Lonchura striata: one gene and its partners. The protein of the gene in region 3 purifies or fractionates together with the protein of the main gene of each other region. This does not show direct contact. Links are inferred from orthologs where the notes say so. Each region holds a gene or a part of one and is shown on either strand. Other genes may lie near its edges.

Region 1 (7,647 bases), on a different chromosome or scaffold from region 3:
GTCCTGTCCTGATGCTGAAGAAGGATTTGGACAATGCTCTCAGGCACAGAGTTGGAATGTCCTGTGCAGGGCCAGAAGTTGGACTCAATGATCCTGATGGGTCCCTTCCAACTCAGGATCTTCTATGATTCTACCTATTCATTTTGGTTAGTTTGTTTGGCAAATGCAACTCCTCAATACCCATAATGTTATCCCATACAAGCAGAAACAGGACTATTCACCAACCAGACTGCTGAGAAAAGGTGGGAAGTACACAGAAAAATACTTGAGATTTCAAAGGGCTGTGAAATGAAGATGTCTGAGAAAACGTAACAGATACTAGATTTAGGAAAAAAAAAAAAATGGTACATTTTATCCCTGAGCCATCCCTGGAAAAGCACATGATAGGGAAGAGTTTGTACTATTTCAAGAGAAGCAAATGTTGTACATGCTAGTCATGCATACACAAGATTTGATTTTTAAAGCCATAAGTAATAATTCTGTATAATAATGAAGTAATAATTCCTGTTTACACCAGCTTTGCTAATCTCACATTTGGGAGCAGTGAGCAGTTTTCCTTCATTTGACTATAGAAGAAACAGCAACATTGACAAATTACAAAGAATGTATAAATGACAAAAGCAAGGGCTTGTATGATCTCTGAAGATAGATTAATGCAATTTAATATGTGTCGCTTAGATAAGAGACAGTAAATGGGAAATCTCTTAATTATCTTTGTACACTAATGCACAGAGGGAATACTGGATCCTTACATTAGTCTAAAACAGAGTACTTTTACCACAGGTTAGCATCTCTTGCTGTTAATTACCTAGATTGTACCAACATCTAGACTCAACTTGTTGAAACTAGAAGCTATTATTAATTAAAAATTAATAAGCTATTACAGTATACTTTAAACTCAGGCCCCATTTGCTGTGTTTCTTCCCATAATATATTCTGGCACTAAAGCCATTTCACACACACTTCTAACTAATAATTTTACTGTTTGAAAAAAATTGGAATATATGGCAGTTTTATCTTGTGTTGCCTTCACAAGTACCAAAATATGCAAAACCCAAGAACTTCAGATCATTTCACTGACTGCATTCCTGCTAGGACCAGACTCATCATGCGGTTTAGCACTGAGATACAATGGAGACAAAAGTTCTTTGGTACCTATTCCACATTCAAAGTGGCCACCCTGTCTCTTATGGAGATGGCTTCCCCAGGTAACAGAAACTGCTCCTCAACATGAGTAAATTATCAGACAGCCCTTTCTATTAACAGCCTAAAGTTACCAGCATTCTACCACTTCATTCTGACCAACTACCCTTCCACCTGTGGTGAAACTCTTCTCTTAATGTAATTTTTTAAAAAATTAAAAATTTCCCACAGTACTTTTTAAAAGGAATTTGTGGTATTTGCCTTATTTGTCTTTTCACTTGTCTCTTGAGATATCACACTGCTCCTCCATGCAGGTATACTCTGTATAGCGTTTACTTGCTGGTCAGCTGCTTCCTCACTGCACGGCTGTAGTTGGTATCTGCCACTGTCACAGAATTACTGAATCAATTGGGTTGGAAAAGGCCTCTGAGATCACCAAGTTCAACTTATGACCTAAAAGCACCATGTCACCTAGACCACGGCACTAAGTGCCATGTTTACTTAAACACCTCCAAGGACAGTAACTCCACCACCTCCCTGGGCAACCCATTCCAGTGTCTAGTCACCCCTCCTGTGAAGAAATTCTTCCTCATGGCAAACCTAAATCTCTCCTTTCACAGCTTAAGACTGTGTTCCCTTGTCCTTATCATGTCCATTCACATCCAATCGATGTCCATTTTTCAGCCTGCACTGGTAGCAAATAACAATCCACAAGAAGCGAAGCACCCTAAAGTACACACCTAAAAAATAAAATAGTATCGCAACTTCGGCGCCTACTTTCTGTAGTGCTGTGATCGGGCAACTGGGTGAAACCGTGTACGTGCGGAACACCGCAGTGACCGAGCAGCGGCGGAGGACCCGCAGGGGAGAGGAGCACAACCCGTGCCCAGCCCTGCCCGCTTTGTCTGGTCCCAGCACTGTTCCTCCCCTCCTCCCTGCTCCATCCCACCCCTACCCCTTCCCACTCCTTCGGCAACCGCGCTCTCCACCGGCAGGGGCAGTTCCTTTCCCCGGGGAGCAGTTCCCCTCTCCAGGACGCAGCTCCCTTCCCCGGGGAGCAGTTCCCATCCCCGGGGAGCAGTTCCCTTCCCCGGAGAGCAATTTCCTTCCCCGGGGAGCAGCTCCCTTCCCCGGGGGGCAGTTCCCATCCCCGGGGAGCAGTTCCCTTCCCCGGGGGGCAGTTCCCTTCCCCGGGGGGCAGTTCCCTTCCCCGGGGGGCAGTTCCCATCCCCGGGGGGCAGTTCCTTTCCACGGGGGGCAGTTCCCATCCCCGGGGGGCAATTCCCATCCCCGGGGGGCAGTTCCCTTCCCCGGGGAACAGTTCCCTTCCCCGGGGGGCAGCTCCTTTCCCCGGGGAGCAGTTCCTTTCCCCGGGGGGCAGTTCCCTTCCCCGGGGGGCAGCTCCTTTCCCCGGGGAGCAGTTCCTTTCCCCGGGGAGCAGTTCCCTTCCCCGGGGGGCAGTTCCTTTCCCCGGGGGGCAGTTCCTTTCCCCGGGGGGCAGTTCCCTTCCCCGGGACGCAGCTCCCGCCGAGGCCTAGGCACAGCGGCGGGCAGACGCGAGCGGGGCAGCCCGGTGCCGCCGCTGCCTTCCGCGTCCCCTCCCCGACCGCGGCACCGGCCCTGCCAGGCCCGGCCCGGCCCGGCCCGGCCAGCGTGCCCTGGGTGGGCGGACGGGGAGCGCACGCCCGCGGCCGCCCGCTCCCGCCGCGCAGGGCCGGCCCCGCACCGGGGCTGCTGCAGGCCCGGCCCCGCGGCCCCCCCGCGCCCCCCGGCAGCGCCGCCGCCGCCACCCTACCCCGTCCGGAGGGCGGAGCCGCCCGGGCCGCCGGAGCCGCCGCCGCGCCGGGCGCCGCCGGAAGCGCCGCGCGGAGGGCGGCGGGGGCGGGAACGGGGGACGCGGCGGGGGCGGGGCCGCCGGCTGCGCCTGCCCGAGCCCCGGCGCGGGGCGGGCCCGCGGGGTCCCGCGGGTTCGCGGTGGGGTAGGAGAGTGCTGGGGTTCCGAGGGTTAGGAATCAAGCCCCAGCCCTACTGCCGTGGGTACGGACCCCCAGCAGTAGGCCAAAGCTCCATCCAGCCTGGCATTGAACAATTCAGGGATGGGGCATCCACAGCTTCTCTGGGCAACCTGTTCCAGTGTCTCACTGTCCTCACAGTTAAGAATTTCTTCCTGATGTCTAACATAAATTCTGCCTCTTTCGGTTTGTACCCATTACTCCGTGTCATGTCACAACAAGGACAGATGCAGAGTCACTCCAGCTTCCCTGTCGGCCCCTTCAGATACGGGAAGGTTGCCATGAGGTCTCCATGAAACCATCTGTTCTCCAGGCTGAACAGCCCCAATTTGCTCAGCATTGTTAGGGGGCATGCTCTAGTCTGGACTTGCTTCAAAACCTTCAGTCCTCCTTACGCTGGGCACACCATAACTATACACAGTACTACAGGTGGGATCTCAGCAGAGCAGAGGGGGGAAATCACCTCCCTAACCCTGCTGGCCACACTGCTTTTGATGCAGCCCAGGACTCCACTGATTTTTCTGGACTGTAAGTGCACACTGCTGGCTCGTGTTGAGTTTTTTCATCAGCCATCGCACCTAAGTCTTTCTCCACAGTGTGGCTCTCAAATCACTTCTCCGCCCAACATGTAGGTGTGCCCAGGATTGCCACAATCTGGGTGCAGGACCTCACACTTTGCTGTGTAGAACTTCATGAGGTTCACACCAGCCCACCTCTCAAGTGTGTCAGGGTCCCTCTGGAGGGCATTCCTTCCCTCCAAGGTATTGAATTTTCGCAGTGTTGTGGTTTGTGACTCAGGCCCACTCTGCTTTTTGTCCTGTTACCTCTGCAGATGTGAAGGCCATGGTAAGGTGGGGTGCCATGATGAGCCCTGGTTTCTCACAGAGTTTTTTACCAGGCAGTGTGTCTTGCCCTAGCCCCAGGCCAGTTGGGTTATGTTTTCAATGTCATGTTTTGAGTTCCTAGCATGTCATAAGGGCAGCCCTGTTGTTAATGGATCTTAACTCCAGCACACTGTAGGCTTCTTGGGGTGCTACCTGTGTATTGCAAAGGAAGTGTCATATAATTTAATTTGGTGCATGAGTGCTTTCTCTCCCAACCACCCCTTCCAGTCAGAGCTCCTGCCATAATCACTAAAATTGCTGTTACTCCATCTGGTCTCCTCAGGTCTCCAGCAAGGCTCCATGTTAGATGGTACCTGGGATTGTTCAGTTGCAGTAGAAAATAGAGTTGCTGACTTGTACTAGCTGGTCAAATATAATTCTAAAAATCCAGAAAATGTGCAAATAATTGCTATGTAAGTTGCTTTTTGTATAATGCTTTAATATAAATTCTATGCATTTATAATACATTTCAAATACAAAAATCTATAAGTTTAGTATAGAATAAATTTTGGTTGGTAACTGCAGTGGCAGACAAGCCACCACACAACTCTGACTTCCACATGAGACTTGCCAGTATGAGCAGCTTATAAGTGATTCATACACCTGCATGCGCCTCTGTGCACACATGCAGAAATGTACATATATACACAAATGTTTTATGTACCTCAGATGTCACTGTACTGTTTTAAAATAACAGTTTAAGCCCCAAACTTTAAGGCACTTCTTCCATGGAAGAGGAAGCTAGACTCTTCAGGTTTCAGTGATAGCAATGTAGGGTGCCTTTTGACATCATTCATCCTCACCTCAATCCTACAATTGGATGCAAGCTATAAGAGTATTTATAAAGGTGCTTTCAACAACCACATTCCCAGGGAGTGTACAACTCAGAATTTGAATGAATTTTTAATACAAAAAAAAAAAAAATTGGAAACAAGACTGTGAATAAGTTTGATGAGTCAGAAAATAGGTTAGGCATGAAAATGAATTTTTGTAGACTATTTTGTTTATGTTCTGGCTTTCATTTTAGGTTTTGTATCTCTCGTGCTGTCCTCCCTTTTCAAACTTAGTGAAGAGAGGGAATACTTGGAAGGCACAATATATCTAACCCATTTAATTGGTTAGTTTAACAAATCATCTAACCCTTTCTATTAGCATTCAATCACCTAAGAAGGGGAATGCAAAAGTTTCTATTTCTGTCTGTTATCAGCTATAAAGAGAAAGCAAGCAAGAGACATCTGTACAGAGGTCTATGTTTGGCCAAACATTCCTACCCTTTGTTTAATGGAGGTTGAATTCTGTATCAGTGCAAAAGGCAGATGGATATGAAAAGTTTTTCTCTCAGTCCACTCATCTGCCAGTTCACAGAGGCTGGAACAGATTGCTTTTAAATTTAGCAGTGTCGAAGTTCTGTGTTTGGTCTAGTCTGCTGGGTTTATTCTATACATCACAGGGAGACATGGATACCTCCAGGTGATCCAACATATCCCCTTCATTCCTATGACAGGTGCCTAAGGAGCACAGAAGTTTTCACTGTTTGGAGATACATCTCTCTTCACTTTGCATAGACCATCCTTAAGCTTTCAGAAAGAAAATAGAATGTGCTATGTGTGAACACATCCTTAACAAACTAGAGAAATTACAAAACCAATTCTATCATTATTCACAGAGGCTGCCCAATGGCATATAGCATTTTAAAACTGCAGAAAGACTAGTGTTTATTGAAGGAGATAGAGGACATTGGGTGACAGTGTCCTTTTTTTCTAGGCTGCTCTCTCAAAGTCATGCTATGTGTGTTCAAGATGTGCTCCAAATTACTGTCAGATTGTCATTCCACAGCCTTTGCAAAAATCAATTGATGATCTGTTTTTATTCAACAGTTATCCATATCTGGAGCTGACAGATAATTTCCAGTGAGCTATGGCACATGAGCACTTTATACATATTTCTATATCCACATCAGCAGTAAAACTAGGCATAGAATTTGTCCCAGAAATAGTCCAGTGTTGAAAGGAAATACACAGGTAGAGGAGTATAGGAAACCTTCTGTTTGTAACATAAGAATGAGACTTGGCTTTTCTGTGCTAATCATACTTTGTAATCACCAAATTCATGTCTTAACAGCATCCTGCTTCTCCTTCAAGTTTTTCTCATTATTATAAGCAGTGGTATGTCTTGCTCATGAGGGGAAGTCTTAACTGAAGTGAGTAGAAATATTGCTATTTCAAAAATAGACATAGAGCATGGAAAGGCCATGTAAGTGGCATGGATAAAAAGTTATGTTTATTTCTATACCAAAGGCACATACAGGAGTGATATGACTGGTGACATTTCGATTACTTTTTCTCCCAAGACAAGTGGCTAGGCCTTGAGTCCACAGTCAGGTACTTCAACTCATCCCAAAGCACCATTGTAATAACCTATTAAAATATCCAGAGGGAAACTTTCCACAGGAGGTAAAGATCCCACACACCAGCTATTGGTCGTTAGAGGTCAAAGGCTCATTTATATTCTGCACTCACAAAAGATGTCCAGATCCACTTTTCCAGGCAAAGTGGTTGTTGGAAAAGCATATGTAGCAGAGGAATTTATAGTGAGAACAAAGAATCTGCTGATGAAGCAGTGGGGCTTACCTGAGCCTTGTGCAAACAATTAGAAGACAACTCCCACTGGAAACAGGGTAACACATTAGTTAAGTTTGCAAACAAGGGAGGCCTGTATCATTTGAGAAAACATTTTGAAAGTAAACAATTAATGCAGGAAATTAGCTGACTTGTAAGTCACCAGGTCCTGCTCCCATCCAGGAACTGATCTGAATTTTGTTATCACTTTGCAAAGCTTTGTATATTAAAGTGTTAAACTGAACCCTAGAAATAATGAAATCATTTTAATCAGTGAGTTATTTTTAATACAACAAACTTATCCAAGTGCTAACTGCAAAGCAGCACTGAGTGCATATGCATAACACCATTGCCACTGGTGTGAATTGTTCTTTCTGGCTTCCTCTGCATCCCAGGATATTAACCCAGCATGGAAAGCATTTCACTGCCTTTTGGATCAGCATTACTGCTTTTTGATATGTGAAATTACATCTATTCTTTGAAATGGAAGAGAAAGTATACTAAGTCAATGAGACTAAGTTTGTAGGTGTTCCCATGAGCCAGGCCTAACAATGCTTTGGCTGTTATGTTAGGCAGAACTCTTTTTATCAAAAGGAAATTTTTTATACCCTGTGGGTTTTTTTCCCATGTAACAATATTTTATGTAGCATTCTCTCTTTCTCTGCTATATTCTATGAAAATGCTGTATTGTGTAATTGATCATATTTACTTAATTTTATCTTTATTTTCTTGTATTTTATCAAAAGATAAAAGAGAAGAATGTGCCACAGTAGAAGTATGTGCTTACATTTTATATGCTGTTAAACAACTGTTGTGTTTTGTCTATGTCTCTGCTGCTTGTTACTAGTCCTTGGTAGATGACATAGAATTTAGGCTATAGATTCATTGAGCAAGGGTGATGTCTTGCTTTGTCTCCCATAAAATCCCTAGTCTATAGTATACATGATTTTATATATTTATAAATTGTATGACAATACAATTGTCAGATTC
Region 2 (7,027 bases), on a different chromosome or scaffold from region 3:
TGAAAGAATAATAATGATGTTCTTTGTGTACACAAGATTTCATCCCAGGATGCTGTGAGAAATCTCAGCCTGACTGAGCTCTGGTTACTGTCCAGCAGATAAAGCTCAGACAAGCAGCCCTACAGCCACTCAGAGCCTCCTTGCACAGTGGCAAGATTTGATTTCCTGAGGGAATTCAGGAATGTCAGCTCTGGCTTTTCAGAGGTCCTTCGAAGGGCTCAGAAAATGTGAAGATGTGGTGCTTAGGGACACGGTTCAGTTCTGATCATGGAGGTCTTTTCCAACCTTAATGATTCAATTAATGACTTTATTAAGGATTCTATTAGACAAGTGGCTGGGCTGCTGCACACACACACACAAAGAGGGGAGGACTTACATGTTCTGAGAAGAACCTTTTGGAGAAGGAAGCCACGATCCTCTGTGCCTCCAGCCCCGCGTTGTGCCGTGCCTTGTACTCCTCCAGCCAGCTGACACCGTCACTGTGGCTGTAGTACTTCAGCAGGGATGGCCACCTGCACACACACACAAACCAACAGCATCATTAATATTTCACCTCCCTGAGAACCTCCAGAACGACCTGAGGGGCTGAGACAGTGCCCAAACACTGCCCAGCTTTCAACTGTATTGAATTACCTCAGACATCAAAGCACAGCTCCCCGACTGCAGCTGTGCATTAATGATTATTTAAAAGCAAGCTCTCCTGAAACCTTCAGAGGCTCCCACTCCAGGATTTCAATACCTAAACATCCTAAATGCTTCAGTTTTATAATTAAAAGAGTTTGCCACAAAGAAGGAAGCCAAGCTGGCACTGAACAGAAGGGGAATTCTCTGTCCTGTGTTTTCCTACCACCTCAGGGAGCTCATTAAAAACACAGCTCCCTCCACTGCCCTTGCTGGTGGCAACATCTATGGGAGGAAAATACAATCTGAAGTCAAATTGTGACAGCTAAATGCTTCTGCAGTTTGACAAGAGACAAGAAATAATTGTCTGAAGGAAAAAAATAAACCGCCTCACAGTTTTCTTGTAAAAAACCCTCCTTCACTGAGACTCACACTCCACACACTTCACAGCTTACCCAGAATTTCAAATTCATCTGAAAATCCAACTTTAGGGCATGCTTTGGGGGCTGTTAGCAGCACCTTTTTGAATCAAGTGGGTGTGTGGTGCCACAACACACTTTGTGCCATAAAATATGTGCCAGCACTGCAATTCCTGCTGCTGTGAAGATACCAGGATCACTTGTGTGAGAAACCTGAACAAGAATCAGTACAGATGGAAATATTTTGGAAATGAAGCTGAGAGAAAGGGGTTTCTTTTCATTTATGGGGGGATTTATTCCACATTTTGACATGCTATTCATTTGTACTGATTTATACAAACCACCTTCCTTAGGTTCTTTCCAGGATATATATATATATATTTAATTTACCAAATACTGAAATCACTCCTCCTGTATAATGATTATTACTGCTGTGCAAACCACACCTGGAAGATATTTCACTGCTGGTTAATAATAAAACTCCCCTGCACTTGTCTCCACAAAATAAAGTCAAATAACCTCACATTACATAACAACCTCTCTCCTGATGAATTCCTGGCCTTTCAGCTACTGCTGAACTGCAGCCACCTCACAATAATCATCACAGTCCTTTATTTTGGGATGAGAAAGGAGAATTTCATGGGCTGGAAGGACGGTGGGAATTTTGGAAAGATGAAAGTGCCATTGCTCACAATGGAATCCAGCCAGGATGGCAAGGCCAGGGTGAAGCCTCCTGCCAAAAATTCCATTACCGAGGAGGAGAGCAACGTGTGTCAATCACCCATTCCAGCTGCTGGATCCCAACCAGGCTGGAACTTGCAGGAATTGCAGCCACTGAACTGCTGAAAGTCAGTCCCAGAGCCATGGCTTGCTGGAGTGGGGAAGCTGTAACTCCTCAGCAGCTTTTTTACCCCTATGAAAAGGGAACAATCCCCACACATGGGCTGAGCTGAATTTCAGGATACAATTGGCAGCTAGAGAAAGCAATTCTGCTGCTTTTCCTGTGCCAACACAGACAAAGGCAGGTAAGAGATGAGGCTGGACAGCCCCGGGGATGAGGGGAGCTGCCCCCAGGACTGCTGAGACCAGCATCACCCCCAGGCAAAACATGCACAGCAGCCTGGGGGAAACAGAACAGCAGCAAAACCCCACCCCAAGGGTCTGGGAATCTGTGAGAACAGCTCTCCCCAAACCCTCATGCATGAACACCTCTGTGCTGCCCAGCATCACTCCTGAGATGGGTCTTGCCTGTTGTTTTGGAAGTTCTGGAGGGGTCAAGGAGGCCCAATGCACAACCCCCGTGTATGGTTCCACTGCCAGAGCCCGGGCTGGCCCTGGGAACGCAGGGAATCCACGGGCCCCGGCGTGGAAAGGGCCACAGAACTGATCTGCGGCCAAGGGGGAGCCCCTGCGAGCAGCAGGCTCAGCCTGGTCCCTCCCCGGGGCTTTGGAAGGGCGGCAAGCAGAAATCTCCTACAAGACCTGCGGGAGAACTCGGGGGGTGCGGGACACCCGCCCGGAGAAGCCGCCAGCGTTGCAGGCCGGGCTGGACAGGCCCGGCACAGCGGCGGTGCCCCGGCACGGGTGACGCCTCTGAAGCCGCGCTCCCCGGCACAGCGCTCGGTGCCCCGCTCGGGCCGGGGCCGGGTGGTGCCGGCGGCGCTCGCCCGGCCCGGCCGCCGCCCCGCTCCCGACCGCGCCCGGCCCCGCGGTGCCCGATCCCCGCCGGCCGCGCTGCCCACCTGAGGCGGAAGCGCTCCCGCCACACCTTGCCGCGGGGCTGGCACGCCTCGCGCAGCCGGCGGCAGGTGCAGGACACGCGGCCGATGTCGGCGGCGCCCAGCACGTCGCAGCACAGGATGAGCTCCAGCAGCTCGCCCGGCAGGTCCGTCAGGCCCGTCCCGCCGCCGCTGCCGGGCCCCGGCGCGCCCGCGGCCTCCGCCGCCATCTTGGCTGTTTACCTGCGCTGCGGGGCCGCCGGCGCTTCCGGGGAGGGGCCCGGGAGCGGCGGGAGAGGGAAATGGGAATGGGAATGCGAATGGGAATGGGAATGGGAATGGGAAATGGGAATGGGAATGGGAATGGGAATGGGAATGGGAATGGGAATGGGAATGGGAAATGGGAATGGGGAATGGGGAATGGGGAATGGGAATGGGAATGGGAAATGGGAACGGGGAATGGGAACGGGGAATGGGAAATGGGAATGGGAATGGGAATGGGAATGGGGAAATGGGAATGGGGAAATGGGAATGGGGAAATGGGAATGGGGAATGGGGAATGGGAATGGGAATGGGAATGGGGAATGGGAATGGGAATGGGGACTGGGAAATGGGAATGGGAATGGGAATGGGAATGGGGAATGGGAAATGGGAATGGGAATGGGAATGGGGAATGGGAATGGGGAATGGGAATGGGAATGGGAAATGGGAATGGGAAATGGGAGAGGGAAATGGGGAAAGGGAGAGGGAGAGCCGGGAGAGGGAAAGGGGAATGGGGAAATGGGAATGGGGAAATGGGAATGGGGAAGTGGGGAAAGGGAAAGGGACAGGGACAGGGACAGAGAGAGGGAGAGGGAAAGGAAGAGGGAAATGGGAATGGGGAAAGGGAAAGGGAAATGGGAATGGGGAAAGGGGAATGGGGAATGGGAAATGGGAATGGGGAAAGGCAGAGGGAGAGGGAAATGGGGAAAGGGAGAGGGAAAGGGAGAGCCGGGAAAGGGGAATGGGAAATGGGAATGGGGAAATAGGAATGGGGAAATGGGAATGGGGAAAGGGAGAGGGAAATGGGGAAAGGGAGAGGGAAAGGGAGAGCCGGGAGAGAGAAATGGGAATGGGGAAATGGGAATGGGGAAAGGGACAGATAAAGGCAGAAGGAGAGGGAAAGGGACAGGAACAGGGAGAGGGAAAGGGAAAGGGAGAGGGAGAGGGAAAGGGACAGGGACAGGGAAAGGAAACGAAAGGAAAGGAAAGGGAAAGGGAAAGGGAAAGGGAAAGGGAAAGGGAGCGGCGGGAGAGGGATGGGAGCGGAACCAAAAGGGCCCAGGGGCTGCTGGTCCCGGGAGCGGCGGCCTGAGAGGGATCAGTGTTATCAGTATTGGAAACGGAGTGTCAAAAAGGGATAAGTGTGATCAGTATTGGAAATGGAGTGTTAAAAACGGATCAATGTGATCAATCTTGGAAACAGTGTCAAAAAGGGATCAATGTGATCAATATTGGAAATGGAGTGTCAAAAAGGGATCAATGTGATCAATCTTGGAAACAGAGTGTCAAAAAGGGATCAATGTGATCAGTATTGGAAATGGGGGCCAAAAAGGGATCAATGTGATCAATACTGGAAAGGGGGTGCCAAAAAGTGACTACATCAGTGTGATCAATATTGGAAATGTCGTGTCAAAAAGAGACCACATCAATGTGATCAGTATTGGAAATGGGGGCCAAAAAGGGATCAGTGTAATCAGTATTGGAAATCGGGGCTAAAAGGGGACTGCCTCAGTGTGATCAATACTGGAAATGGAGTGTCAAAAAAGGACCACATTGGTATGATCAGTATTGAAAATGGAGGCCAAAAAGGGATCAATGTGATCAGTACTGGAAACAGAGTGTCAAAAAGGGATCAATGTGATCGATATTGGAAATGGGGGCCAGAAAAGGGATCAGTGTGATCAATATTGGAAATGGAGTGCCAAAAAGGGACCACATGGGTGTGATCAATATCGGGAACAGTGGCCAGAAAGGGCTGATATATCGATGTGAATCAATATTGGAAAGGGGTGCCAAAAAGTGACCAATGTGCTCAGTATTGGAAAGGGGGGGCCAAAAAGGGACTGGATCAATGTGATCAATATCAGAAACGGGGGCCAAAAAGGGACCCCATCGATGTGCATCAGTATCAAAAATGGGGTGCACAGGGGGGCTCTGTCAATGGGTATCAATATCAGAAAGAAGATTTCAAAAGGGGCCTCATCAATGGGTATCAATATGGAAAAGGGGGTGTCCAAAGGGGACATGTCAGTGTGTAAAAATATCTCAAAGGAGGTACCAGAAGGACACTTAGCAAGGTGTGTAAGGTCTTTTAAGGATAAACTGCCTAATTAAGAAATGACACTTAAATTATTTTTATTTTTAACTGAATAACTAATTACCTGTGTTCTGTAATGTGGACTTTTTTGCCTAATTACACAATACTACTGAAATTTGTAGAGAAGAAAGTAAAGAAAGATTAGCTTCCACCTTAAAACCTCTATCTTGTTTTATATATATATATATAATTTTTAATATATTTATATAATGTATGTATATGGCTATATTCTAAAACCCCAAACTAAGTTTTCTACTGTGTGGTATTACACACTTCTAGTCAGACTACACACCCATCATCTTCGTTTTATCATTCCATTTTGGAAGCCTTCTCCACGGCCTCAGGTCAGGTATGGTTTTCTCTTTAGGGCCAGTGCCCGTCAGCACGGAAAGTCCAAAATTCTCCAAAATTAGGTTCTAATGTATCTGTACCAAAAATGGGGTGCACAGAGGGGACCTCATCAATAGGCAGAAATACCTAAAGTGGATCAATGTGTATCAATATCCTGTGCCAGGGCCTGCCCGCCCTCCCAGGGAACAATTCCTTCCCCCTGTCCCACCTAACCCTGCTCTCTGGCAGTGGGACATGTAAAAAATCTCTTTTTTGATGAGCCCCTTTTCCCTTCCATGGGAAAATCATTTTTCCATGGGAAAAGCCATGTCTGTATTTCTGCCTCATTGCCCTGGCTGCTTCCTCATTTCTTTCTTTCTCATTTCTTTCTTTCTCATTTCTTCCTCATTTCTTCCTCATTTCTTCCTCATTTCTTCCTCATTTCTTCCTCATTCCCAGGCCTCTCAGCTGCTGCCTGCACTGCTTTTGCTGTGTTCCCAAGGCTCCAAAACTCACCCTGGTTTGCACACAGCCAGCCCTGTGACATTTCCCCCGAGGACACGGGATAAATGATGGGATCCATAGATATGTATTACAATATTGGCTTTTTGCAAATATTTAAATGGATTTTATATGTGTGGTGTTAAAGTAACTTTGTTATAAAGATGCAGTTTTGATTTCTGTTGTTTAATTAAGCTTAGTGAAATAGCTGATATCAGTGTGCTTGTGTTAAATTGCTGCTGGGATGGGACAAAATCCACTGAACACAGGGTGAGGACACTGCTATTGATATTCCAATTATCAGCACTCGCTGTCTGAAGGCAGTGTGCACCAAGACCCGAAAATTGGAGGGGATAAAAGGACCAAAAGCACAACCAAGGAATCCACATGCTCTAAAAAAGTGGAACTGAAGAGGAGCCAGGCTAAACACTTCTTGGAACATGTAAACTGGTTTGGGGAAAAGTTTACTGTGCATAAGGGTCTGTGAATATGCAACAGGCATTGATGCACTAGAAATGGTAAATAAAGGGTGTTTCCAAACTTGCAGGGGTGCTCTTGGCTGAGTTTCAGGATGCACCCAGCCCTAAAAAAGGTCTTTGCTCTATGGTCCTTGTCTCCTATTGTCCTGCATTAAACTTTTTAAATGTTTATGGTCCTCGTCTCCTATTGTCCTGCATTAAACTTTTTGCATGTTCACAGGAGAGGGAAGGTGTTTTTCACCGGGGAGTGCTGTGACTCAGGCGCCTGGCGAGGCAGCGTCGTGTCTGGCAGGTGAACGGGTGCTGCTGATTGTCACTGCTATTTATGGCCCCCTGGCATTCCAGGTGGCAGAGCAGGGCCAGGCCAAGGCAGCAGCAGAGACCTCGAGCAGCCTCGTGGTGTTAAAAACCCAGAGAGGAGAGAAGAACTGCCAGCTTTTCGTTCGCTTTTTTATTTGGACCGTAATGCAAACAGGCATAAGTATTCCATAAAATCAGAAGTTTGGGACTATACAGAGAGAGGTGCATGCTTCAGAACAACGTGGGTATCTTGCAAACAGAGCCAGAGCCAGTCTGAGAGAGGGGCTGGAGCACGGGGGA
Region 3 (7,465 bases):
GAGTATGGGGAGGCCCTGGCACAGGCTGTCCAGAGAAGCTGTGGCTGCCCCATCCCTAGAAGTGCTCAAGGCCAGGTTGGATGGGACCTTGAGCAAGCTGGTCTAGTCCACAGCAGAGGGTTGGAACTGGATGAGCTTTAATGTCCCTGATAACCTGAATCATTCTAGGATTCTCTGATTCTCTGACCTGGACTCTCACCCAAGTGCTGGGCTCTGCCACCCACCATTTTGCATTGCTGGGGTACAACTTCTATGAAGAGTGACACCTTCTAAAGGATGCTGCTTCAATATAAATTTTTCTGAAGTGGAAATGCAATAATTAGCTTTTTATATAATTAGCTTTTTCAGACTTGTACTGAGAACAAGAATTTTCCTCTTCTGCTGCTGCATTGTTCCAAGACTGCTTTAAAAAACAGTGGCCTTTGAGCTTGCCAGTGTCCTTCTACCATCTCTCTCACATGAATAATCCTGATGTTTTCTGGTTTTACACTGAACCAGTCAGTTCAATTATTTTCAAACTTGATGTGGCTGCTTGTTTAAAAAAATGCTCATCTTTTGTATTCCTGAAAAAAGATGATTTTTTGCAGCAAGTCTCATTCTCGCCTACATGTAAATTAGATTCTTTTTCAGATTCCATTGTCATACCAGGCTCTCTCCCTGGCTTGCTCTCCTTGGTTCCATGAATTCAGGATGAGTTCTGTGGATTTTTCCAACTTGTTGATGAAGCAAAGCTGAGCTCTTTCAAGCCTGATTGTCATTAGACTTTTACAATGCCACATCACATTTGTATTGAAAAATAATCAGTGTTACCTCCAGTCTCTAAATCACCACCAGCAGCTAAAAAAAATGCTGTTTCTCTGTCAAAGTGGAATGTGAGGCTGTGGAGCAGATGCAGGGCTGTGTCCAGGAGGCTGCTCCCTCACATTCAGCATGTTAAACTCTTCCCCTGTGGCTGCATAGCTGCTCAACTGGCTGCACCTGCAGCCCAGGGATGCTGTGAATATGTAGGTCAGGGCTCTTCTGGATCTGATTAAGCATTAAATCAAGCTCAAATCTTTTCAGGTATTTGCTTTGGTGTTAAGCTGTTCCCTTCCTCCTTCATGTTCTCAGTGGTCAAAGGCCCTTAATTGTAATTTACCCGTGGCTGACACATGGTGTGATTCCCTGCACTCAGGAGAGGAATGCTCAGCTTTAGGATTATTTGCAGTGCAATCATTACCTGTGTGTGGAACAATTGAAATTGGGCCACTCCTTTTTTTAAGCAATCTTGTTTTTGCCTCGCAGCTTTAGCCAGGGATAGGGGTTTTGTGCCATTAATACTGCCTGACTCACAGCACTTGGGCTATTGCCCCTGCAGCAGCTGCTTTTTCACAACTGATAACGGGAAGCATCTGGAGTGGCTGGGGAGGTTTGTTGTGTGATATGTAGGGCACAGTGGGAGGTGCTGTCGTGTGATTATAGCCTATCTGTGACAGCCATCTGTCTCTTTTTGGGGTGTGGGGTGTTTTTGCTGTTTTAACTTTCCCAAACTTCTAATTCAACAGTAGGATTCAAAATTCACTGAGGATGGAATTTTTTCCTTTGGAAAACTGTAGAGAACTGTACCAAGTATAATCAGCAGTATAATTTTGAATTAAATTTATGCACAACTATAATTAAGCATGGAATTTAGCTTTCTGCCTGTTTCTAGAGTCCATTATATTTTTCTTGTGTTGAGCACAAACCCCATCCCCCCTTTGCTGAGCCTGATTTGTAGTCTGTGAGCTTGTGCTTGCTGGTCATGAGCCAAATCAGAAACCTTGGTCTTCGGCAACATTGGGAAAGGGGCTTTAGAATTTGTAGACAGGTTTTCCACTGGCCACCTTCTGTTATTGTCTGATTCTCTAAACCAAAAAGTTTTAGTATAAATAAAAAATAATAATTTAAGGAAAATAAAGGCAATGGTTTTTAGTGAACTGAATGTAGTTCTCAGCACAGGAGTATGAGATGGTGTGATTGAGGAAGAAAGAGGTAAATGCAATGCTGGTACAATCAAAAAATCATGTTAGATGTAGTCTGGAGGTTTCACACTCTATATATGAGATACATATAAATTAAAAATGAAAATAAGGTGCCATTCAATGGTGAACAAAGAGCTTATGTGGTTATCAATACCAGGATCTCTGGGGAACTTCTGTTAGTGTCCAAGTCTGCTGCTGAGCATCACCTGCCCCCTGGCTGCTCCCTCAGCTGTTGGGAAGAGTTCAGGGAAGCACACAGCAATCCAGCCTGGAAGGGACCACAGGGGTGACCTGGATCCACCTACAAAGTCAGATCAGAGCTGCATTCAGTCTGCCCTAACAAGCTGCTCAGCATCCTAAAGCCCATGGAACAAGCTTCCCAAGGCAGGCAGTCGCCTCCAACGGTTCTCGGGAATTTGTACAGAGGCCTGTTTGTGTGATATGCTCTGATGGAGAGCAGCCAGGCTACCAGCTGAGCTTTAGGCTGTTCTTCCTAGCTGAGAATCTGTTGAATCTTCCATCTCTTCAGAGAACAGCCCCAATGAACAAGGTGTTCAATACTGAATACTTATCTAATTGCAGTCTCACTGCCCAGAGAAGCTGTGGCTGCCCCACTCCTGGAAGTGTCCAAGGCCAGGTTGGACAGGGCCCTGAGCAACCTGATCTAGTGGAAGGGGACCAGATGAGCTGTAAGGTCTCTTCCAACCATTAACATTCTATGATTCTACTCTCAGATGGAAGGGAAGGGAGCAAAGGAGGGAAGGAGTAAGGAATACTTGACAGTCATTGGCTTGGCTACTGAACTGAGCAAAACAAGATTCTCAACTAAGAAATTCTGAATCCTGGGAAAATTCTTCATGTTAGAAGATATTTTCCAGTGGGTCTGGCTGTCATTTGTTCCCAAATGTGTGGGGTGCACAGCCTGGGATTCTCTTGGACCCCAGGAGATGGGAAACCTGTGACTTAACACAGAAACATTAAGGCTGGAAAACATCTCCAAGATTACCAAGTCCAACCCTTGACTGATCAGCACCTTGTCAACCAGAGCAGAGCACTCATTGTTTCATTAAGTTGTTTCTTGCACACCTCCACGGATGGTGACTCCACCACCATGCCAGTGTTTGACAACCCTTTCAGGGAAGAAATCCTTGCTGATGTCCAACCTGAACCTCCCCTGGTGCTGCCTGAGGCTATGAATGATGCTGCACTCTGCAGTGTGGTGCTCTTGCAGGTATCAGTGTGCTTACAGGCATCCTGGCTGTGTCTGCATTGGAGCAGTGTGAAAACATGCTTTTTGGTTCCTAATACATTTTTGTTTAGGATTGGAAGTAAAGCAAATTGTCGGAATCCTGCGTTGTCACTGTGTAAATGCCATGCTTACTTGAAACCCATTTTGCCATGGAGAGCTGAGGCAAAACTGGGCTCAGCAGCAGAGCATGTGTGACACTTCACAGCAACGTGAGGGCTCATACCCTGCCCTTCCTCACAATGCAAAACCCTTCACATACCTTTTTTTTCCCTGAAAACCCCGTACCTGTCGCTTTCTAGCACACACGGGTGACCTTTCCGCTGTCACCCGTGCTGGGGGCAGTGCTCCGGTGGGGCGGTGCTGTGTTTGGGTGCCCAGCTCGGCCCGGGGGCTCTTTGCACAGCTGGTGTCCAGGGATGCTTTAGAGAGCTGAGCTAGAGCTGCTGAAATTCCTGGCGGAACCTAGGGCAGATGTTCTGTGAGCACCACTCACAGCTGGATCCATTTCTGGCTCCATGAAAGCTCCCGCACGTATTTCCACTGGAGGAAGGCTGTCTGATGTTGGAACAATTTTAAACTAGCCGGTTGTTCAATGTTGTTTTTCGGCTAAAATGTCTTCCGCCTCTGGAGGAACCCCTGATGGCATTTCACCGTGTTTACCTGCGGGAAGCCTCACAGATATTCGCTTACCCCTGAGCCTCGGCCTTTCTCCCCGTGAAGCAAAACCAGCACGGTGGGCGTCCTGGGGCGAGCCCGCGTTACCCTGAGTGACCGATTTCACCACACGAGCTGCCAGCCCCGGACACCGGCGCCCTCCGCCGCCACGGGAGCCCCGCGCGGCCCTCAGGGGGGAACGGGGCCTCACAACGGCCGGGCCGGGCCCGTTCCCCGCTCCCCGGGCCGGGCCGGGCCCGTTCCCCCTCACGGGGCCGGGCCGGGCCCGCGGCGCCGCCTCAGCCCGCGGGAAGGGCCCTGGCCTCCGTCTATTGTGCGGCTTCTGGCGCGGCTCCATCGCTGCCTGAAGAACTCTCCGGCAGCCGCTCCTTCCCCCCGAGCTCGACTCGGCTCCGCTCCCGCTCCGCACCCCGCGGAAGCGGCGCGAGTCCCGGTTTTTGCCGTTTGGGAGCCGCGCTGGGGTGTTCCGCTCAGGCGTTCGCGGCGGGCAGCCCGGGCGTTGCGAGGCGGCGGGAGGCGGGTCCTTGCCCCTCCCCCGCTCGGTATAAGAGCGCCGCCGCAGTCGGGCGCGAGCGCCGCCGCCGCCTCCTCACGGTCCGTGCGCGGAGCCGCCGCCGCCTCACGGTGAGGCCCGAGCGGGGCGGGGGGCGCGGGCCGTGTGGGCGTGGAGGGCGCGGCCTGCCGCGGACGGAGGGTCGGGAGGCCGCAGGGCGATCGCGGGGGCCGGGCCGGGCGGAAAGGTGAGCGCTCCCGGCCGTGCGGGGATGCAGCTCCCGGGGCTCGCTGGGCCCGAGCCCGCCCGGGCCGTGCGGGAGTGCAGCTCCCGCGGGGGCGGCGTGGGGAGCGGTGCCCGCGGCGGTGGCGAGTGCAGCCTCCGAGCAGCCCGAGCCTCCCCCGCGGCTCCCGGGCTGTTGTGCCTCCGCCTCCCGCTGCCCGCCGTGACCCGGAGCGGCCGCGCCTCGGGTGCGCGTTCGTTACCTGCTCCTGCTCCTGGATACCGGCGCTGGCGCGGGGGAGGCAGCGGGATCCATCCGGAATGGCGCTGAGAGGCGCAGCTGTAGGTGGCTGAGCTCGGCGTTTCAGGCTTAGACGAGTAAATTACCGCTGTAATTCAGGTTTGGCTTGAGCTCGGCTGGCAGCCTGTTGTGCTGTTGTCAAATAAAGCTTTTAGAACTGGTTTGCTTAGTCACCCAGTAGTGCTGCTGCCCAGGGACTGTCACCTGCCCGAGCTGTACTGCAGCTTGCTAAAAATTAGACTTGTTTTTTTTTCCTGTTTTCTAGGAAACTGAGTTCAGTGGTGTAAAAAAAAAAAAAAGTCTATGAAATTTTGATGTGTTGTCGATGATAAGGCAGCAGTTTAGCTTTGTTCTACCTGTTTCAGACCCTCAGCAATAACTGAAGGTCTTGTTAGAAGCAGATTTGGGTGATAGGAGGGAAGTATCCTTGCTGGGGCTCCCCCGGCTAAGGCAGCATCCCTGCCTGGCTCTGCTGTGCAGCATTATGTAAGCCCAGGCACAGGGAGGCTGCCTATGGAGCTGGGTTTGTTCTGGAGTACTCCCAGGCAGTCACTGCAAGAACAGATGCATTAAATTTAAAATGTGTGCCTACAGCACTTTTCCTGAACATCATTCAAAGTGCTAACGCAGAACTGTGCTGTAGTCCAGATCCTGCTTTTGTGCATGTGTGTACAAATATAGATATATATATATAAATATATACACATACACACACACTTGTACCTTTGGAACAGTCATGACTGTGTTCCTCCAGAACACCCATCTTAATTAGAAGTAGCACTGTCATATAGGGTTACATTGCTGTGTAAACATTAACTAGCTGCTCATTGCCAAATGGAAATTAAAGCAATGAGGTCTCGGGGCTGGTGTGAGCTGCTTAATAACACGCGTTGGCCGAGCCTCTCCTGGCCTGGGATTGCACAGGACTGTCAGGCTCAGCCTCACTACACTGATGAGTTTTCAGAAAGAGGTAATGCAAAGTTGCTTCTAGTGGTCCTGTTAATTAATTGTTGATAGCTCAAGTGCTACTGTGAGGAACTAGTGTGTGAGGCTTGTAAGTTTGGTGGGGGAAGAACTTACACGATTTAATTGAAAGTGGAATTCTTTGTTCCCAGAGCTGTTCACAGTAGTTGCAGGCTGTACAAACATGCTTCAGTGATCTTGAAGCAGGTAACTCGAGGACCAAAAAATAAAGGAAGCTGTTGCAATGGTTTGCTGCTTACAAATATTTTGAGTGGTAAAGGAACTTACAACACATCCTACTAGCTGATTGAGAGCAAATTTATAAAATTTATGTGGCCAGACAGTTGTGTTTATAGTACATTTGGTTGGCTCAAGTGCACTGATGCTCCCCACAGTCTGCACGTGTGGTTTCAGACAGAAGCTGTCATCTCCTGGCTGCTGTGTCATGTGCTTTACTTCTGGGTTTCAGTTGTTACATATCTGGAATGGTGCCTTTTTTTTTTTTTGCAGAATTTGATGGTGTTTTTGCTAAGAACATCTTTCAAGCCTGCTGCCTCTTTATTGTAGGTCTTACTACAGTTTGAGGAACTTTGTTAAAATGCATGGTTATCTCAGGTGCTAACAAAGTACTGATCTTGCTTCCTGCTTTGCAAGGGCAGTTGTGAGTGCTGAAGACCTTCCTTGTAGGAGATTATTACTTTCTAATCTCTTCAGAAAACCAAACTGGAGGAAAGCCTTTGATCCTGAGTAACCTGGTCTGTTTAACTCTGTTTGGAGCAAGGGGGGCTGGACTAGACTCCTTCCAACCTCAATGTTATGAGTCTGTTCCAGAGGCTATAATTTGAAAACTACTTTTGAGATCTGATGTCGTTTGAGCAGTTGAAGTGAGTAGTAGTAGTTGTTTGGATTTGAAGGCCAGTGGTGGTTTGGAAGTGTTGAAATTTTTTTCAAGAGAAAGATAGCTGTAGTGTTATATTAGAAATAAAAGCACTGTTGACTAATCTGTGTATTTTATGCTTTCAAGTTAAGAATAAAAAGCTCATGAATTAGTGTTAGACTTCAATCAATCCTTGTTTCTTGGGCATGAGGATTAATGATTTTAGGGCTGTTGATTAAAGGCATGAATAATCCGAGTGCACCTGAAGTGGCATTGGGCTTCCTGCTGTTGTGAAGAAAATTTCAGCAGTAAAGGTGCTGAACATCTTTGAGTCAGCTGAACCTGTAACATCTGCTGAGAATTGTGTGGAAATAACTGTCCTTCTCTTGTAGATGCCGTCAATTAAACTGCAGAGTTCAGATGGAGAAATCTTTGAAGTTGATGTGGAAATTGCAAAACAGTCTGTGACTATAAAGACTATGCTGGAAGGTAAGAGTGTAAGACCCTGAGGAAGCCTCTTGGACAGGAATTGAGACAAGCTGGTACTGTGCTGAAAAAGGATTCTCAGGTCTATGGAGCAGCTTTCTCCTGCCTGAACAGCTGTAACTCCTGCTGTTGTAGCTGAAACTGTGTAGGGTGGATGTGCTCTTGTAAAAAGCCCTGGTTAAGAGCACTTACAGGGAGG
Region 4 (7,873 bases), on a different chromosome or scaffold from region 3:
GGGATAAAGGCAACTAAAAATGATTGATTTTCCCAATTAAACAGTAAATCAGTATACTTCACAAAACTGCATGAATAGAACAAAATGACTAGAACAGAAACAGGGACTTAGGGCAGACAATCACCTCAGCAGGTTCTGCTGAATCATAAATCCCACACATGGCACTTCTGTCCACATAATCTGATCTCTCATCATCAAGCAATCAAAATACAGCAGTGGTACATTTTCACATCTCATATGACTATGTAATATGCCACATTTTTATACAAAACTTATACATTTATACATGTACATAGCACATATATATGTATAAAAACACAAGTGTGTTTTTATTTCTGTAGATTGAAAAATAAGTCCCACACTATCAGCTAGCTAATCTGCGTTCCACAATTCCTATTACAAATCTTAGCAATTATTTTGCTAGATTGTTGACACCATTTAGATACCTGACATGTTACATCTCAGCTCAATAGTAAACCCTAAAGATTAAAAAAAAAAAAGAAAAAAAAGCCTCCTTAGAGTTGACATTTTTGTACAAGACTCTTGGCTCTGCTTAAAAAAGAAACCCACTTCTAACATATGTGGTTGCAGACAATGTTTGAAACCACAAAATGCAAGAATTAGAAACAGAAGTTCCAAATGCATTTAGAGTGTCATTACTCTGTCAAATCTTGACTTTTACAAGGCCTTGACACTGCACTTCTGCAGCTAGTCAATTCCCAGACAGTGATTTCAGCTGTAAGTAAAATGTGCGAGAATAAGGAACAATTATGCATCCAGCAGTAAAGATGGATTTACTGAATCACAAGTGCTCAAAAATATCATGAAACGCAATTAAGGGGTTAGCTACTAGAAATTTAACATTTGTTCAAATATTTTCAACTTATGGAATCATTACATACAGAATCATGCTTACTCTGGATGGAAAATCATATTAGGTAAAGTTTTAGCATCAGATTTACCAGATTATGATCACTGTTTCAGCCACAGCTCTGAAGAGAGTGATCTCAGTTAGAAGTCAAAGCTTTACAATACTTTAGAAGTGACTAAATGAATTTTTAGCACAGCCTTGTTACCACACGTACAATTACTCCATAAAAACGGTGCTCAAATGCAATCTATTGCTAACCCACGATAATTAGCACTAGGAGAACTAAATTAACCCCAGTGGCTGGTGTGCAGTCACGCGAGCCAGCCGCTACAATGCTGCTCTGCAGTTCCACCAGAGCACGATGCATGTCACGAGGAATCAACAATTTTTAATACCAATCTTATTTAGCAATCCAGAGAGGGAGAACCATCATATTAATTATTACCATCCACTCTGAAAATTTTAGTGATATAAGCAATGAAGGTTAAAACTTTTCCCAAAATTAAAGCTTCACTATACAAGAAGCTTGTAGCTCTCCTGACTTTTGAGAGTTGCTACTGTGTACCAAATTAAATCAGCAAAAGAAGAAAGAAATTTTTTACCCATTAATATATATTCAACAGCACAGGTATCATCCAATTTGTCAGACTTAGTGTTAACAATATTTTACATTATAGCTACTCTAAGGCCTTACAATGCATAGGCATTGACCAGTAATGACCAGTAGTGATTTCTTTCACCTAAATGAAAGTCATGCATCTGCCAGTGTGAGACTTCATCTTCCAGATAATCCCTCCGTGTGGGGTTTAACCAGCTAAACTGTCCATCATATCACAAACATAAAGCAAACAAACCATAAAACCTAAGTACAGGCTTAGACCCCATAGCAGACCATCACCTACATAACCTAAGCAGAAGGGGATACTCAGTTCTTTCCTTGGATCATGCAGCACAAAAACAGAGAGGTAGAATGTTTTCATGAGGTTGTTTTCTGGGCATTTCTTTGCTTTATTTTAAATAACTGCACTCTCTCACCTTGGAACAATGGTATCAAGTTAAAGCTCAATGTCCTTTTCAAACTCTGGCTCTCCTCTCCTTGCCAACCTTGCATGGTATAAATAGCAGCAAGCAGAGGAGTGAGCATTAAAAATACTCCTTTAAAAAGCTCAGGAGTGTTCATGCTTGTAGTGCAGGACCAAAGCACTCCGGGTGCACAAGAGCAAGCTGTAGCACATTTCACATATATCAAACACGGTGTCAGTGTTCACCTAGATAGAAAAAAAAAGGGGGAAAAAAAAAAAAAAAAGCTGCGACAGCCATATACAATTTCCGTATCTCTCAATATCGAAAACTCCAAACACACGACTCGGGCCCGCCGAAGCTGCGACCCCCCAGCGCAGGGAAAGCCCCGGGGCGGGCCCCGCTGCAGCCGCACCTGCGCTGCGCCCCGAGGCCGCGGCTCCGCCTCACCTCCCCGGCCCGCGGAAACGCGCGGGCGGCATCGCCACAGAGAACGGGAGGAAAGTAAGCGGGGCAGGACGGAGCGGCGGAGTCACCTCGGCGCCCGGGCAGCCCCAGCCGCGCTCCGCTCCCGTGCCCCGTTATCCGGCCACCCTACGAAGCCCTCGCTGAGAGAGCGAGGAGAGAAAGAAAAGGAGGGGAAGAAAGGGGAGCACTCACACTTCTGTAAAAGACAGCAAGTCAGCACCCACAGCAGTACGCAAACACTACCCCTCACTTGTAGATCGGCGCCGCTGCAGAGAACTGCGGCGCGGCCGCTCTCGCCGCCGGCACCGCCCCCCCTCCGCCCCCGCGGCGGCCCCGGCGGCGCCGCGCCCGCCCCAGCCCGCCCGCTGCCGGCCAGCGCCGCGGGCTCGGCGCGCGCGGCCGTCCCGCCCCGGGCCGGCCCTGCAGCGCCCCGCGCCCGCCCCGCGCCGTCCGGCGCACCTGCCCCGCAGCCGGCCCCCTCACCTGGCGCTGGCCCGGCCGGCCCTGGGCGATGCGTTTGTCGGCGTGGGGGGCCGGGCCGGGCGGGGAGAGAGGCGCAGGTAGCCGAGCGGGGGAACTGGGCCAGCGCTAAAAATACCGCACGGGATGGAGGAGGATCCAGCCGGCGGGGCGGCCGCTCATCCTGAAGGCTGCCGGCGGGACCGGGGGCGCGGGTCTCGGCGGATGGCAGTGACCTTGCTCCAGCCGGGCAAAGTGCGCTGTTTCAAACTCACAATCGACAGCGACAAAACTGCCTGCTCTCGTTTCGGTTCCTAAACCGCGCGTGCCCTCCCGGCCGGCGCGCGGGGTGAGGAGCCGCGGGGTGCCCCGGCGCTGGATGGAGAGCCGGGCTAAATCACCCGCCCGGGGCAGCGCCTGGGCCGGCCGGGCCGCATTCCCCCGGCAGGGCCCTGCCCCGCCGTGCCCGGCTGCCTCCCTGCCGCCCCGGGCGCTGCCGCGGCCGCGCCGCTCGCTCGCCTGCCCAACGCCTGCCGGCCCGAATGAGCCAGCGTGGAAAAGAAGTTTGTTCCTGCGAAGTTCCTCCAGCCTCTTGCGATGCCCAGGGAGGGAGTCGTGGTGGAGTCGTCGCTCGTGGAGATGCTTAAGAGGCGTCTGGATCTCGTGCCCGGTGATGGGTTTACTGGTTGCAATGGCAGCGCTGGGTTGACAGTTCGACTGGATGATCTTAAAAGTCTTTTCCAACCTCGAGGATTCTGTGAAGTCTGCTAAGAGCTACCTTAGCAAAACAGTATGTAGCAAAACTAAGGCAACGTCTAGGTTATAAGAAGTCTCAGGAGGTTCAGGCATAATTTTCTTGATGGCCTAAGCTGTGCAATGAGTCTTGAGCTAAGTTTGTGTTTATGCAGAGTGGTTTATAAACACAAACTAGATAGAAAGTGTGTGAGTTTAGTGACTGGACACAACGCTAGACTCTGTCGTAACTCTAGCATTCTGTCCACAGTATTATTTGCTGCCACTTAGAGCTTGACATCTTGGATTTCAGTAGTAGTAGAGCCAGCAGTTCCCTCCAGGATCTGTCCACTTGGATTTCAGTGGAGAAAGTTCATATTGTGGTAAGTCTCCCTGACCCAGTGGAGTAGCTGCTGAGGATTTGGCGCTAAAGTTGTGTCTTCACAGTGGTGGCACTACCCATAACATGAGGCAGAGAGGAAAAATCTTTTACTCATCATTGCAAAGCCCTAGTAAGTAAATTATGCTCATGTGATTTCTGGGGAAGAGAAGCTTCGAGATGCCAGCAAGGTTGGAGACGCTTACCTGACATGTCTGGTGCATGAGGGCACAGCTGCCCTCAGGCTCCCTGTATGCCAACGTAAGAGTCTGTATCCAGGACAGATTTGGTGACTCCACAGGAAATGCTTTCTTGACATCAAGCTAGTTCCCTGACCTTCCTCTCTGCCCTCTCTACTATATACAGTTGCTGGCTATTTATATATGTGATGAATATGATTCAGAATTAAACATGCCAAGAAGACACTGCTTCATTCAACCTAATAATTAGAAAAGGATTGCTTTGTTTCATCACCACATGAAAGAGAACTATTTATTGTGGTTGGCTTAGTAGTAACAAACAAAATATTTTATTCCCATCCATGAGAAGCAATCTTGTGTGTCTTTATGGGCTTCATCCAAAGCGTGCTGGAGTCAGTATTATTATGTATGGGTTTTCAGTTAGCACCTGACTGAAAATCTAGTAAGCTGGATCAGAGCAAGAGTGCTTTCGGGTTACAATGCTGAGCATTGTACAAAACTTGAGCGCCCCAGGATAGTCTGTGTGGTGCTCCAGACCTTGGGAAGAAAACACTTCAGTAGCACAGCTGAAGCACCCTGGCATGAATCTGCTGCTGTGGCTGAACGTGTGGAGCAAGGGACATCGTGAGATTTTTGTGGTGTCATTAGGTCACTGCTCATGTGAAACTGAGTGGCAGATAGTTTACATAGCCAGCCTTTTAGCAGAGTTCACAGGCATGGCTCCAACTGTATATATCAAGGCTAATCTCAATTACAACTTAAAAATGCCTCTGTTTTTGTCACCGTGGCGATGGTCTGGGAAGTATCGACTGATCGACTGATCGCTACAGCTGAAAGCTTGTGGTGTTGATCTTTATCCTGACAAAGATCACAGTTCATTTAGCGTTTGCTGTAACCATTCCACTCTGATGGCTCTTTACTTTTTCCTGGTTTTGTTGTTTGTCTAGGCTTTTCATACAGCAGTAATCAAGGAGAAAAATCAAATTGAAAACCAGATACTTAGATTTTTTTTAAGAGATAATGACTTTTGCTTCTCTGCTTTTTTTTTTTTTTTTTTTCCTCCTTACCTCTTCTGGTCCATGCATTTTTAAGTTTTATAAATATAGGAGGAATACTGTAGATTATGTCACTGAATGTTGAAATTGAAGGGAAGGAAATGAGGAAAAAAAGAGGGAAGAAAGATGAAATCATTTAAATAAGGAAGATAAATGAAAGACAAAGGATGATGAGGGTGAAAGTAGCCTGGACCCCAAAGTAGAATAAACATGGGAAAGAATTTGAGACACCAAAGCAAGAGGTGAATATCACAATAGATGGGAAAGGGAATAAATGAGATAACAGATCTTTTTTATATTCTTTCCCTGTTTTGTGTCAGTGGAAGTAGTCAGGAGCAGGCTCCACAAATGGCTCTGAAAGATACTTTCAGATGCATTCATACTCCAAGATAAATGTATGTCTGTCTTTAATAATAGATATGATTGCAGCAGGTATTAATAATTTGCAACAGTACCAGGTAACTTGAGTATCAATAACAGTAAAAATGCAGCAGCACAGGATGGCCCAGTCTGTGTCCTGCTGATATCCAGGGTAATGGATGGTTTTGAATAGGTTATTAGGGAACTCAGATTTTGTTCCTGACTCTTAATGGTTGCTTGTGTACTTTAATATTATATGGTAATTGCCTAGAAAAGCAGTGTTGTAATAGGGATTGAAATTTAAATTTCCCTACTCCCAGCTAGGGACCTTAATTGTTGCATTGCAAAGTGATGCCTTGCTTCCCTGGACCAATGAATGTGGATTAGTTTGTTCAGAATAACAGACTATCAGCAGGCACAATGAAAGACATTCCTTCCATCTAGCCTCTGGCCTGGTCATGAAGGGAATTTCCTGGGAATTGACACATAGGACTTCACTGTTGTCCTCATGACCCTGCAGGTCTTACATCTGCCTGTTTAGCTGAGAGAACCTTTTCTTCCTCCTGTCATGTTTCTGAAAAATGCCAAAATCTAAGTGCAGACCCCACTGAAGCCTAATACAAGAATTAAATGCTTTAGATGCCAAGAAGGCTGTAGTTGGAATGTCAGTAATTGACAACTCGAGTGCTTCTCCCACTACTTATTGGAGATTCTGGTCCAAGGTAGTGCTGCTTCTGGTGTGGTGGGGAATGGGGGGCACATGGCCCAGAGCTCTGGCTCCTGGGTAGCAAACTGGTACCAGAACTTGGGGGCTGCAGCTCTTAACACTCAAAATAGCTTGGCTGTGGTGGATTTATAGTCTGTGATAAGTCTTATTCTGTCTGTATTTGGGAAAACACCATGTTGTGGATTTGTTTATGTTACATAGCAGTGTGTTCATGGCTGATTCTCTGGCATCAGGAGGCTGACTTCTGTCAGATGAAATTCCTGCAGGCTGAAGGTTGAAGCGCTATATTGTGGTGTTTTTTTTGGTTTGCTTTGGGTTTGTTTTTTGTTTTTGTTTGGGTTTTTTGGGGATTTTTGTGGGGTTTCTTATTGGATTTTTTGGGGTTTTTTTTTTGTTTTATTGAGGTGGAGAGAAGGCCAGTAATGACTGTTAATAACTGCATTAAAATTCTTTGGCAAGTGATGAGTACTGTTCCCCTTTGCTTATGCAGACTACATTTAAAGTACTGCATTAATACAAAAGAAAACTTTCTGCTGTCCACTGCTAATTCTGGCTTAAGAAAAGTATATCACCACAGTTGAGAGTCTTCATTATCTTCTGAGGATCAATTACTAATGAATATTCTTTAATTTTGTTTTTACCACAAACTTCACATTCATATGACTTATTTGAATTACACTGTATACTTACTGCTTTGATAACATATTGGTGAGGTATGCCAGAGAAAATAATTTAGTGGTGCTGCTGAAAATGTTGAAAATGTATTTGTATAGTAGTTTGGGTTTGATCTTATAATTTTGCTGACAATTTTCCCTGTAATAGCTAAAAGTAACATAATTCTAAGAATCCTTGGTATTTTTCCTCCACAGTTTAGAAAACAATCAGACAGACTGTATATATCCTCACAAAAAGTACTAGTGAACAGATCACAGATCTCTCGGCTAAATTAGTCATGTGTCATTTTTCTTCCATATGCTTTCCAGTAAAGCAAGGTTCAGACCTACTTACAGGCACCTCTGGTGAAGAACTAGAAAATATTCTGAATGATTTAACAATTAGACTAATTGTAGTTTACTTGATTCCCTAATGTAATAAACTCTTTCCTTCACAGGCCATTATATGTGGGATAAACCTCTACATTGTATGTGTTATTCATTATTTATTCCTTCCGGGATATTTAAGAATCAGCTCATGGTTTCTAGCAAAATTCACAAAAACAAATATATTCAATAATTTTAGGAAGCATTTTCTTATGGCAAATAATATAATTTTCATCTTCTGTGCAGTTAAAATACCTCTTTACTGCTTTATTCCTATTAATATGTCAAGAAATCAATATAGTTTTTTTTATTTCTGATATTAGTGATTGAAAATATGTGTGATATTCTTCTAGAGGATTTTAATTACTTTTTTTGTAGTTAGATAAAAAATGGGCTAATTTCTCCCCCCTTCTTTAGTGTCATTTCAATGAGTTTGAAATGAGTATAGCCATGTGCAGAATGACAACTGTATTGTTCTGTGCCAATTGTTAGACCTTGGCATTTTCCACATACACTGTTTCCTAAGCAAACACACTTTTACAGAAGCAGATTTATTAAAAAA

Evidence for each region.
Region 1: the proteins of SKP1 (region 3) and FBXL4 purify together in Homo sapiens (affinity purification with western blotting; 9 studies listed by BioGRID and IntAct, with this or other methods). This does not show direct contact. The link is inferred for Lonchura striata from reciprocal best matches to the Homo sapiens genes SKP1 and FBXL4.
Region 2: the proteins of SKP1 (region 3) and FBXO21 purify together in Homo sapiens (affinity purification with mass spectrometry; 6 studies listed by BioGRID and IntAct, with this or other methods). This does not show direct contact. The link is inferred for Lonchura striata from reciprocal best matches to the Homo sapiens genes SKP1 and FBXO21.
Region 4: the proteins of SKP1 (region 3) and MTUS1 purify together in Homo sapiens (affinity purification with mass spectrometry; 3 studies listed by BioGRID and IntAct, with this or other methods). This does not show direct contact. The link is inferred for Lonchura striata from reciprocal best matches to the Homo sapiens genes SKP1 and MTUS1.

The regions. Positions count from the first base shown.
Region 1 is NC_134605.1:74,118,396-74,126,042, reverse strand, and holds the start of FBXL4 (F-box/LRR-repeat protein 4), read right to left. Parts: upstream 3,016-7,647; 5' UTR 2,939-3,015; intron 2,270-2,938; exon of another isoform or gene 1,405-2,269; intron 1-1,404. UniProt on the Homo sapiens protein: Substrate-recognition component of the mitochondria-localized SCF-FBXL4 ubiquitin E3 ligase complex that plays a role in the restriction of mitophagy by controlling the degradation of BNIP3 and NIX mitophagy receptors.
Region 2 is NC_134620.1:3,272,729-3,279,755, reverse strand, and holds the start of FBXO21 (F-box only protein 21), read right to left. Parts: upstream 3,001-7,027; 5' UTR 2,989-3,000; coding exon 2,783-2,988; intron 513-2,782; coding exon 377-512; intron 1-376. UniProt on the Homo sapiens protein: Substrate-recognition component of the SCF (SKP1-CUL1-F-box protein)-type E3 ubiquitin ligase complex.
Region 3 is NC_134617.1:9,574,442-9,581,906, forward strand, and holds the start of SKP1 (S-phase kinase-associated protein 1), read left to right. Parts: upstream 1-4,455; 5' UTR 4,456-4,548; intron 4,549-7,172; coding exon 7,173-7,269; intron 7,270-7,465. UniProt on the Homo sapiens protein: Essential component of the SCF (SKP1-CUL1-F-box protein) ubiquitin ligase complex, which mediates the ubiquitination of proteins involved in cell cycle progression, signal transduction and transcription.
Region 4 is NC_134606.1:29,696,484-29,704,356, forward strand, and holds the start of MTUS1 (microtubule-associated tumor suppressor 1), read right to left. Parts: upstream 3,010-7,873; 5' UTR 2,843-3,009; intron 2,684-2,842; exon of another isoform or gene 2,552-2,683; intron 1-2,551. UniProt on the Homo sapiens protein: Cooperates with AGTR2 to inhibit ERK2 activation and cell proliferation. May be required for AGTR2 cell surface expression. Together with PTPN6, induces UBE2V2 expression upon angiotensin-II stimulation.